Coturnix japonica: one gene and its partners. The protein of the gene in region 3 interacts with the protein of the main gene of each other region in a biochemical or structural test. Links are inferred from orthologs where the notes say so. Each region holds a gene or a part of one and is shown on either strand. Other genes may lie near its edges. The genes, in order: HOXA5, OTX2 and FOXA2.

Evidence for each region.
Region 1: the proteins of FOXA2 (region 3) and HOXA5 form a complex in vitro, tested with the Homo sapiens proteins (2 studies listed by BioGRID). The link is inferred for Coturnix japonica from reciprocal best matches to the Homo sapiens genes FOXA2 and HOXA5.
Region 2: the proteins of FOXA2 (region 3) and OTX2 form a complex in vitro, tested with the Homo sapiens proteins (2 studies listed by BioGRID). The link is inferred for Coturnix japonica from reciprocal best matches to the Homo sapiens genes FOXA2 and OTX2.

The regions. Positions count from the first base shown.
Region 1 is NC_029517.1:29,863,377-29,867,120, reverse strand, and holds the start of HOXA5 (homeobox protein Hox-A5), read left to right. Parts: upstream 1-1,295; 5' UTR 1,296-1,499; coding exon 1,500-2,061; intron 2,062-2,942; coding exon 2,943-3,193; 3' UTR 3,194-3,744. UniProt on the Homo sapiens protein: Sequence-specific transcription factor which is part of a developmental regulatory system that provides cells with specific positional identities on the anterior-posterior axis. Also binds to its own promoter.
Region 2 is NC_029520.1:50,710,153-50,713,896, forward strand, and holds the start of OTX2 (homeobox protein OTX2), read left to right. Parts: upstream 1-1,059; 5' UTR 1,060-1,189; intron 1,190-1,446; 5' UTR 1,447-1,529; intron 1,530-3,744. UniProt on the Homo sapiens protein: Transcription factor probably involved in the development of the brain and the sense organs. Can bind to the bicoid/BCD target sequence (BTS): 5'-TCTAATCCC-3'.
Region 3 is NC_029518.1:4,401,522-4,405,265, reverse strand, and holds the start of FOXA2 (hepatocyte nuclear factor 3-beta), read left to right. Parts: upstream 1-1,466; 5' UTR 1,467-1,956; coding exon 1,957-2,043; intron 2,044-2,645; coding exon 2,646-3,744. UniProt on the Homo sapiens protein: Transcription factor that is involved in embryonic development, establishment of tissue-specific gene expression and regulation of gene expression in differentiated tissues.

The DNA of each region.
Region 1 (3,744 bases), on a different chromosome or scaffold from region 3:
AGAAAAAAATCACTGTAAAAAAATCGTTGTATAAAAAACTGGGTATAAGCTTGAGGATAAGGCGAAAATGAATTGCTGGGAGATTTCTAAATGCCACTAAACTGACCCCAATCTGCACTACTGATACCGAGTAAGAGCTCGGTGATAAACTTTAGGGCGAGAGAGATGAGAGGCTTTGAAAGGGCGAATTTCTGTGGTTCCCGTTGAGCTCGCACTGAGATTTCAGTGAGCTCAGCTCTGCACTGAATTATGGACTTCATTTCTCGGGGATTCAAGGATTTGGGGTCCGTCTTTCTTTCTTTTCTCTTTATCTATCTGTCTATCTTTCTTTTTTGTTTTCTTTCCCATCTTTTGAACTAAAAGGGAAGTGTCGGTCATATTAACTCGGGGATATTCTTCCCCTCTTTTGTGGTACCTTAATTTACATCCGCATTTCCTAACACTGGAAGAGAAAAAAAAAAAAAAAAGGGGGAAAAAAAAAAAAAGGAGAGAAAAAAATATGTTTTAAAGAGAAATAGCTGCAATAACATGGTTCCATTTCGGGGTCTGTATAAATAACAGAAGCGCAGCGATTGATATATACGTTCTATCTCTATATGTTGTATTGTTTGCGTGTGAATGTGCTGTGAGGCTGTGCACAAACCCACTCGTGTGCGCACCGAGGCTCTTTTGTTCGAGAGGCAGCGCAATTTGGGCTACCGCTCCTCAACATTTCCCAAGCCAGAGCTCCAAAATCCTACTGCAAAATGGCCACCATCGGATTTATGTTTCCTCTTTTTTTTTGCTGGGAGGCAGAAAAGTAGCACCGACACCGACCGCCTGCGATCCTCCCGCTAGCTCGGGAAGCGCCGCACGGCTCTCATCCCTCAGAGCTACCTGCCAACGGCGGAACGGCGGGACCCGCCTGCCTCTCGAAACAACCGCCACGGGAAAAACGGTACAAACCCCAAAATACATATAATAACGCGGATCGTGCGAGGGACGTGACCGCCTCCACCACCGGCCACGGAGCTCGAGGCAATCGCGGCACATGAGCCTCACCCTGCGGAGCCGGAGCGGCGCTCCCGGCTCTACCCCGGGGCTGCCCCGCCGCCCGCCCGCTCCCCGCTCCCTCCGCCGCCGCCGTCGGGGGCCGTCACCCCGCGCCGACCCCTCTCCTCTCCGTTATCCCCCGCTTTGCCAGCGGGTGGCGCTCGAAGCCGGCGGACGGGAGGCGGCGGTGGCGGATGCGCGCGGCGGCGGCGCGCCCCGGGCCGCCCGCGCCCTCCCAGCTCCCCCACCAGTGCACGAGTTTACCTCTAGAGGTCATCAGGCAGGATTTACGACTGGACAACAAAAGCACGTGATTTGAAGCCGTACCCCATATTTGGGTGCCTACGTAGGAGGGAACCAAGTACATGTCCCAGTCATTTCCATAATTCATCATAAATTGTGCAAGGGTGCTATAGACGCACAAAACGACCAAGAGCCACAAATCAAGCACACATATCAAAAAACAAATGAGCTCTTATTTTGTAAACTCATTTTGCGGTCGCTATCCAAATGGCCCGGACTACCAGTTACATAATTATGGAGATCACAGCTCGGTGAGCGAGCAATACAGGGACTCCGCCAGCATGCACTCCGGCAGGTACGGATACGGCTACAATGGCATGGACCTCAGCGTCGGGCGCTCCGCTTCCACCCACTTTGGTGCCAGCGAGAGAGCCCGCACTTACCCGGCCAACAGCACCTCTGCCTCGACAGAGCCCAGGTACAGCCAGTCCGCGGCCGCTTCCCACTCGCCTCCCCCCGACCCCCTGCCCTGCACCGCCGTGGCCGCTTCGCCCGTCAGCGAGAGTCACCACGGGGTGAAAAACTCCCTGGGCAACTCCAGCAGCACTTCGTCCAATTCCAGCAGCAGCACGCACATCAGCAGGGACGGGGTTGGCACCTCGTCCGGCACCGAGGAAGACACTCCGGCGAGCAGCGAGCAGGCAAGTGCCCCGAGCGACCAAAGCACAGCACAGCCTTCCCAGCCCCAGATCTACCCTTGGATGCGAAAGCTGCACATAAGTCATGGTAAAGCAAATACCCTCTTCTTTCTTTATTTCTCTGGAGGAAAAGCAGGATTGAATATAAAGCCGGTGTCCGCACCGAGCAAGGTCGGGGAGAGGGGGGAGAGGAAGGAGGGCGTGGGAGAGCGCAGCCCCCGCTCCCTGAGCGGGAGCTCCCCCCGGAGATAGGCAGCGCCCGGCCCCGACCCGGCTCCCGGCCGGCTCGCGGGGAGCGTGGGGCGGCGGGGAGCCTTCCCCAGAGCGGGACCCGCTGCCGGCTCTGCCCTTCCGGGGGGACCCTCCGCCGGGAACGGCGCTGCCGACCCTATTTGCGTAGCCGAGCCGAATCGAAAAGAGAATAGCAGGGGGCGAGGAGGGCAGCTCTCGCCGCCGGGAAGGCGCGGGGAGGAGGAGGGGGAGCACCCCCCTGGCCGCAGGGAGCGGGCGGAGGGGGGTGCGGAGAGCCCCGGCCCCGCTACCTGCAGCGCCCGGCCCGCCGGGGAGAGCCGGGGGTTCGCCGCCTCCCGGAGCTCCGCCGTGGGAACGGGCTGCGCGCCTCCGCCTCGCTCCGCGGCCCCGAGAGCCTGGCGTGCACCGCAGGCGTCTTCCGCAGAGCCGAGCCTGGGGAAGAGAGAGGGGGATTCGCCTCGAAAACGCGCTAAAATCTCTTTTGTAGAAAGAACGAAACCGAAATCCGAGCGGAAACTTAGCACGGCCGCCAGGTCCCCCTCCCCCCAAAGGCTTTTCTAAAGGGGCAGGAGGGGGAAACTTGTTGAGCATTTCTCCAGCCCAGCAACAAAACCGAGCTGGGCTGAGAATAACGGTCCTGGTGGCTCGGAGCTGCAGGGAGACAAGAGGGCTCCAGGTCGCTGCTGGGAATCTAAACGCTGTACTTTTCTCTTCCAGACAACATAGGGGGACCAGAAGGGAAAAGGGCTCGGACTGCTTACACCCGGTATCAGACCTTGGAGCTGGAAAAGGAATTTCACTTCAATAGATACCTGACCCGCAGAAGAAGGATTGAAATAGCACATGCTCTTTGCCTCTCAGAGAGACAAATAAAGATCTGGTTCCAAAACAGGAGAATGAAATGGAAAAAGGATAATAAGCTGAAAAGTATGAGCATGGCAGCTGCAGGGGGGGCATTCCGTCCCTAAGCGTTTGATCAATTAAAAGTACTGAGCAGTATTAGCTGACCCTGCGTCTCATGTCAGTACTAAGTTGACTTTCTGAAACTTCCTTGTGTTACTTCTGTGAAGAAACCCCGTTCTTGTCGCCCTTATTCATCTTTTAATCATGAGCCTGTTTATTACCATTCTCTCGCGTGTATAAGTAGATCTGCTTTTATCGTACATTTCTTTGTCTTGAATGGCTTTGTCTTGGAAAAAAAAAATAATAGATGTTTTAACTTATTTATATGAAGCGAGCTGTGTTACTTGAAGTAACTGTTACAAAAAAAAAAAAAAGGCAAAAGAAAAAAAAGAAAAAAAATAATAAAAAGGGAAAAAAAAAAGGGAGAGAAAGAGAGAAAGAAACCCTGCCCCGGTTTAGTACAAATGTTATGTGTTGCACTCAACCTGCTTAACTGTGCATGTGTGGTCAAGTGTTAATGTCCGTATAGCTCCAAGCTGTTACAAATATTTTTATTCGAACTACCTATATAATTTCTGTGTAATTAATGCTGTCGTAGAGGTGAAATGATGAAATC
Region 2 (3,744 bases), on a different chromosome or scaffold from region 3:
GGGGATAGCCACGGAGAGGCGAATTAATCGCCGTCCCTTCATTAACATAGGTCACCCCACGAAAAAGACGAAGCCGCTGCGTTTTGGCACGAGAGAGGAAAGTGCGCGCAAAGCGGGGCTGAGCGCTCCGCTCCCTTCCCAAGCGCTGCCGCTCCGCGCAGCTCCGCGGTCACATTGCTTCCTCGGCCCGAGCTGGGAGCTGCGCAGATCCTGGCCCTCCTCCCACCACTCCTTTACTGAGCAGAGTTTATTTCTGTAAAAATTCTGACGCATCCCGCTTTGAAAATGCGGCGCAGCGCAAGTCTCGTTCTGCGGCTCCATCCAGAGCTGTATCTCAGATGTATCCTGTGTATTCATGTATTTTAGTATGAGTATGCGGGTTTTTTTTTGTGTGTGTGTATTCCTGTTTATTTCATGACTGCTTGTATTTATCTGTACATATACATATGTTTATATTACACCTATACACACTCACACACATGCCTGTGCCCCCCAGGACAGACCGGGTCCCCTTCTCTCACCCTCTCCCATCCCAAACACTCTCAGCTCTGCTCAGGGGGTGCTCTCTGGGGGGGTCCCGGCTCTGGGACACCCCTATACCTCTCTCCATTACCCCAAGAGGTGGGATCTCCCCTCTTCTTTGCTCTCCTCCAGCCCCACACTAAGCCAAAGGCTCTGCCATACGTCCCAGTCCACCCCCTCAAAAAACGTTTACTTCCATATTTTAATACCTTTTGTTGTTTCTATTATCCTCCCGCCCCCATAAGCTTCCTACAGTCCCCTCTTTCCTTCCTTAAACACTCTCCGCTTAAAGTCCATCACATTCACTTGCACAATGACTTCACACGTTGCGATCCACAAATGTTATATTTTTAAACCGAGCATCTCCTTTTAATGGACATTCTCGTGTCATTTCGGCGGCTGTTATTTCTCTCCTGATTGTCCCCCCGGTCCAGCAGCGGCCCTGTTTTTTCCTCCCCCTGTTGTGTGTTTTTATTATTTTCCCCCTGGCTTAGATGTGTCAATCACTCTCTCCCTGCCATTGGTTGGAGAGTTTGCGTCAAAAAGTTGCCAGAGAGGCGCTTTCTCAGCAAAGCTCCCCGAGAGAGGTAGAGACCTCAGCTCCAACGCACCCTGCCACTATTATTAAAAATAAAATCACTCGACCAACTCCGGCACCGCCAGCGCTGTACGTACCGAGCGCAGCCCCCGAGCATCCCCGCATCCCTCTCCGCAACCGTCCGCCCCCTCTCTCCCCCCCCCCCCCCCCCTTCTATTTATTCCCCCCTTATTTCTTCTTCTTTTTCAAACATTTTTTTCCCCCCTCTCTCTCTGTCCTCTCCCCCTTTCTCCCCCCACCCCACCCCTCCCCTCAACCTCAGTGTCGTGGGCATGTGCATGCGGCGCGCTCCCTAACCTCCCGCTTTGTGCTTTTCTCTCTCCCAGCTCAACCCCAGCCCTGAATTTGGAGAGGACCAGACCGGCGGCTCTGCCCCCCGAGCCCCCCAGCCCTGCCCGCGGCCCCGCAGGTAAGTGGGTGCACCTCGCGTGGGGCACCGCTCCTAAACACAACGAAGATGAGAGAGGAAGCGGGTGGTGATAGCAAATTAGTACGCTTATTTTATTATGACTAATGTTGGTTTTAAGTGCTTTTACGCCGGGAGCTGAGGGCAGAAGAGAAGGGTGCGGGATACGGGGATGCGGCGGTGCCGCTCGCTGCTCCGGGGATACCCCGAGCTGCCCTGGGGAGGCCGGACCGGGCCGGGCCGAGCGGAGTGAGGCTGCCCCGAAGGCTGAAACATTCCCCAAAGGCCCAAATGCGGGAGCGGAGGAGGGGGACAGGCGATTCCCACGGCTCGCCCTTAAGCCCCGCTTTCCACCGTGGGCTCGCCGCGCGTTTCCTCGCTTCGTATTATTCCCCCCCTCCTGGTCCTTTGGTCCTTTGGCCTTTCATTCTTCCCCGGCCCCAAGGTGGACTTGGAAAATGAGAAAGAACCGGGAATATATATATTTTTCTTCTTCTTCTTCTTCTTCTTTTTTCCTCTTTTTTTTCTTCTTTTTTTCCCCACCCCCGACTGGAACTCCGCTCATCTCGCCGTGGAGACTCCGCGAAGTAATTTAGCCGAGGTGCGCTGAGCACCCGCGGAGCAGCGCTGAGAGCAGCGGGGGTTGGCATCCTCGGGGCTTTGGGGCTACGAACCCCGATGCGGGCAAAACGGATTGGGGTGAACAGATCCCGGTCCAAGAGCGACTGGGGCTGTTTTGTATCTCCCCGTTTAATTTATTTTAATTATTATGATTATTATTTGGCCGTGGGAAAGCGTTTCCCAAAGGCTCCTTGCCCCTTAGTAGTACCGCGCTGACAAAGAGAAAGTCGGGAAAGTCCTTGTGAAGGAGCCCAAGTTTCGTTAGGGAGAAAATCTTCCGTGGGGCCGAGATCGGATCGGGGTTCTGGTGCTGTGAGAAGTTGGGATTTGTTATTTGTTTCGTTAGAAGAATAAAGAAGGAGAAAGAAAGAAAGAAAAAGAGAGGGGAGAAAGAAGGAAGGGAGAGAGAGAGAAGAGAGAGGGGAAGAGAGAAAGAAGAAAGAGGGGAAGAGAGAAAGAAAGAGAGAGAAAGAAAGAGAGAAAGAGAGAAAGAGAGAAAGAGAGAAAAGAAAGAAAAGAGAGAAAGAGAGAGAGAAAGAGAGAAAGAGAGAAAGAAAGAAAGAAAGAAAGAAAGAAAGAAAGAAAGAAAGAAAGAAAGAAAGAAAGAAAGAAAGAAAGAAAGAAAGANAAAGAAAGAAAGAAAGAAAGAAAGAAAGAAAGAAAGAAAGAAAGAAAGAAAGAAAGAAAGAAAGAAAGAAAGAAAGAAAGAAAGAAACAGAAGGAAAAAATATAAAGAGAGAAAATAAGAAAAGGAAAGAAGAGGAAAAAAACCCAACTCAATTAACAACGCACTTATAAAAATGCGATTGTGGAGGCAGGAATGGGACATCGGCCCCGAGTTGAGGTCGCTCCCGACTGCCCCGTTCGTTCTCCGGAGCTGCAACCGCTCGGCAGAGCCGGGATGAGACACCGCATCCGTTGCGGATATATTTATGATGAGGGATATCAACCTTCCAACCCCTCCATTTCGGAAAATAAGATAAAGAAATATGAATCAAAGCGATGGAAATCATGCGGGCAGGGTGCGAGGGGAGCTTTTTCTCGCCGACCCCAGCCCCAATTCCCCTTCGTCCCGCAGCTCTGCGCCCCAATCCCCGGAGCTTCCCCCCGACCCCCGCGGTGCCCGGGGCGCAGTGTGCGCTCACGGCCCCTCCGTGCATCCATCAGCGGGGCCGGGGCCGGCGGCCCGTAATTAGGGAGCGTGTGCCGCCCGGATTATCTCGTTAGTTTATCAAGAAAACATTTATTATAATTAATTCTCGGACGGGGTAATTATTATTGAGCGAGGGCAGAGCAACTGGTAGGAGAGCGGGGGGGAGGAGGGGGAAAGGTGACAGATTGCCGAGCGGAGCCGTTGCTCCGCGGGCTGCGGCGTTGCGCGGCCGCGGGGGCTCCGCGGGGCTCCGAGTTCACGGGGACGGAGCGTTTTTAATTGCAATGAATTTATTGTTGATTATTATTATTATTTTAGGGCCGCGTTTTCTGTTGTTATTGTTGTTGTTCGTTGGCTCGTTTGCAAGCGTTGCACCCGTATTAATGTTGCTCTGCAGTTTAACGCACCCCCCGGGAGCTGCTTCCCCCCCCTCCTTTGGGAAAG
Region 3 (3,744 bases):
ATTTTCAATTTCGATCATCTGGGGTATTTAAAAAGATGTTTCTCTACAAGGCAAGACTATCTTCTTCACTGCTTCCTTCCCTCTTCTCTTAAGGTGTTGATTTTATTGGGCTGCCCAAGGGTAGCGGCATCACAGTTTGACTAGTGAAATAAGGGATGGGATGTGGAAGACCCCACGGGATGCCAACGGGGCTCACATTTAGGACCACACGGTGCTGGTACAGCGGGAAGACTCGGCCTTACCCATCACATATGATCGCTGGTGATGCTCCCAAGTGATGCACTGGAGGGTGACCTCCGCCGTCGGGGGGACCCCCGGGTACAGGCGGGGGACAGGCGGGGTGCCCCTCCACCCCCGGCCCTCCGGTACCGGGGACAGCAGGCGACAGGGGGCGCCGCGCCACCGCTCTTAGACCTCGGGACAGCCCTGCCCGGCCTCCCACCCCTCCACCCCACCCCCCCTTTTTTGGGGGCAAATCCCCCTTTTCCCGGCGCGTCCCCGCCCTGAGGGCAGCTCCCCTGGGGTCTCTCCCTTCTCCTCCAGCCAGCCCTCATCTCCCCTAAATATGGGCGGGAGGAGGCGGGCTGCTTCTATCCCCGCAGCTATCGCGATAGGAGCCAGTTTCGTTTGGAGACGGCTCCCGAAGGCGTTGGGGCGAAGGGAAAAGCCCTCCGGCGAAGCCCCCCGGCTGTTGGGTTTGTGTTAATGTTTAAAAGCTCCCGTTAACCTCGCCAAGCTGTGCTGGGGTTAATGCCGGGAGAGAACCCAAATAAATAACCGAGGGAAAAGGTCGGTGCCGCGCCGCCCCGCCTGGCGCCCGGGCAGGTAGGTACAGGGCGCACGGCACGGGGAGGGCGGCAGCTCCGTGTCCCCCACTGGGCGGGGGGGGAGGCAACACTGCGGGGCCGGGAGGTGTCGGACACCCCAGGGGGCTGCGCTTCCTCCCTGGAAGGAGGGAAGGAGAGAAGGAAGGAGGGAGGGACGGAGGCAGCCGCTCCCCGACGGCTACACTCGAGCAGCGTCCGTGGATCCGTCCGTGGGTGCGGAGCGACGCTTCCCCGACGGCGCCCATCGGGCCCCGCTCTGGCTGCGTGTTCCCCGACGGCGCTGAGCCCGGCCCCGCCGCGCTCCCCTCTCCCAGCTCCCGCCTTCCCCTGCCCTTCCTGTTTGTTTTAGTTACGAAATTGTTGTAGGTACCTGAGGCAGAGCCGCGGGAAGGCATGAGGCAGAGCCGGGCCACGGCCGGGAGGAAGGTGGCCTGAGGCTGAGCAGCCGCGGGGAGAAAGGTGAGTGTGGCTCGGGGGGCTGCGGCCGTCGGAGGGGGATCGGGGCACCGCTCTGTTTGGGCTTTGCGAGGGGACACCTTCCATCGGAGTGCGGCTGGAATGGGGGTCCCGTAGGAGCCCTCCTGTTGAGGGGGGGTGCGGGGGGAGACGCGGGGTGGTTCCGGGAGTCGCTCCGGGGTGCGGGTCGGGAGCCGCGGAGCAGCCGCTCCCGCCTAGGTGTGAGCTGATTATTCAAATGGGCAGCCGAGGACCTGGGGATTGGAGGCTCGCCTGGCCGCTCCGTGCTATATCACTCGGGCACCCACGTCACTGCAGCACTTGTACTCCTCTTCCTCCCTCCTCCTCTTCTTCCTCCCTCCTCCCTCCTCCCTCCTCCTCCTCCTCCTCCTCCTCCTCCTCCTCCGGCTCCTCCATCGCCTCCGGGCGACTCTTCACCGCGAAGCTCTGCGGAAACCCACCCAAGGAGCGGCGGCGAAAAAAAACCCCGGCCCCGGCGGTGCCCCCTCCCTTCCTCCCTCCCTCCTCTTCCTCCTCCTCCAGCGGCTCCGACGGAGGGAGCGCGGCAGAGGGGAGGGAGGGCTGGCGATTTTTTTTTTTTTTTGGGGGGGGGGATTGCTCTCTCTCTCTCTCTGCGTCGTCGTTTGTTGTGTCTGTTAAATTTTAAACTGCCATGCACTCCACTTCCAGTATGCTGGGAGCGGTGAAAATGGAAGGCCATGAGCACACGGACTGGAGCAACTACTACGGGGAGCCCGAGGTAAGGGGGTGGGGGGGGTGTTGGAAGCCGGGCGGCCCGATCCCCGCGCCGGGATACTGGGGGGAAACCTCAACTTTGTCGCTAAATATTCTCGAGGCGCTGAACTGCGGCTGGGGGACAGCGGGGGCGACGGGGGCAGCGGGGCCGCCCCCCCCAGCCCCCGGGAGAGAGCGGGGCTGCCGGGCAGCGAGTCGCGTTTTTTCCTTTCCCCCTACCCTCCCCCCCACCCCCCACCCGAGGTATTTTTCTCTCTTTGCTCGGGATTGTCTCTTTTCCTCCAGCTTGGATCCTCTGAGCTCGGTGAGATCCCGACTTTTTCAATATCTAAATTTGGGCTTTTTTCTTTCTTTCTTTTCTTTCTTTCGGTTTTTTTTTCTTTTTTTTTTTTTTCTTTTTTCTTTCTTTTTTTTTTTTTTTCCGTTAATGAGCGATTCAACACCCCCCATCTCCCGCCGATGCCCCCCGGGGGTTTAACCCTTCCCACCCCGCAGCTCCAGAGCTTCAGGAACTCCCTTGGGCTGGGCTGGGGGTGCCTTACTTGGGAACTGCTTTCATTTCCAATCCCCCCAAATCTCCCTTATCTTTCTCGTTTGTCTATGCAGAGCTACTCCTCGGTGAGCAACATGAACTCGGGGCTGGGCTCCATGAACACCATGAACACCTACATGACCATGTCGGCCATGAGCACCACAGCCAACATGACAGCAGCCACCTCCATGAACATGTCCTACGCCAACACGGGCATGAGCCCTTCACTCGCCGGCATGTCCCCAGGTGCGGGGGCCATGGCCGGCATGGGCTCGGCTGGCGTGGCAGGGATGGGTGCCCACCTGAGCCCCAGCATGAGCCCCATGGGAGGCCAAGCGGGCTCTATGAACGCCCTGGCCCCTTACACCAACATGAATTCTATGAGCCCCATCTATGGGCAATCCAACCTCAACCGCTCGCGGGACCCCAAGACGTACCGGCGGAGCTACACTCACGCCAAGCCCCCTTACTCCTACATCTCGCTCATCACCATGGCCATCCAGCAGTCACCCAACAAGATGCTGACCCTGAGCGAGATCTACCAGTGGATCATGGACCTCTTCCCCTTCTACCGCCAGAACCAACAGCGCTGGCAGAACAGCATCCGCCACTCACTTTCCTTCAACGACTGCTTCCTCAAGGTGCCCCGCTCCCCAGATAAGCCAGGCAAAGGCTCCTTCTGGACGCTGCACCCCGACTCGGGCAACATGTTTGAAAACGGCTGCTACCTGCGGCGCCAGAAACGCTTCAAGTGTGAGAAGCAGCTGGCGACCAAGGACGGCGGTGGGGGCAAGAAGGGGCCGGGGCAGCCCCCCAGCCAACCCCTAGGGGAGGGCAGCTCCTCGGGGGGCTCCGAGGGCTCAGCGGGTGCTGAGTCACCAGCGAGCGCCTCACCGTGCCGGGACCACAAGCGCGCCCTGGCCGAGCTGAAGGGTGCGGCGGCAGGGCCGAGCCCCGGGGAGCCATCAGCGGCCTCTCCAGCACAGCACCTGCTGGCCCCGCCACACGCCGGGCTTCCTCATGACGCCCACCTCAAGCCCGAGCACCACTACGCCTTCAACCACCCGTTCTCCATCAACAACCTGATGTCGTCCTCCGAGCAGCAGCACCACCACCACCCTCACCACCACCACCACCCCTCGCACAAAATGGACCTCAAGGCCTACGAGCAGG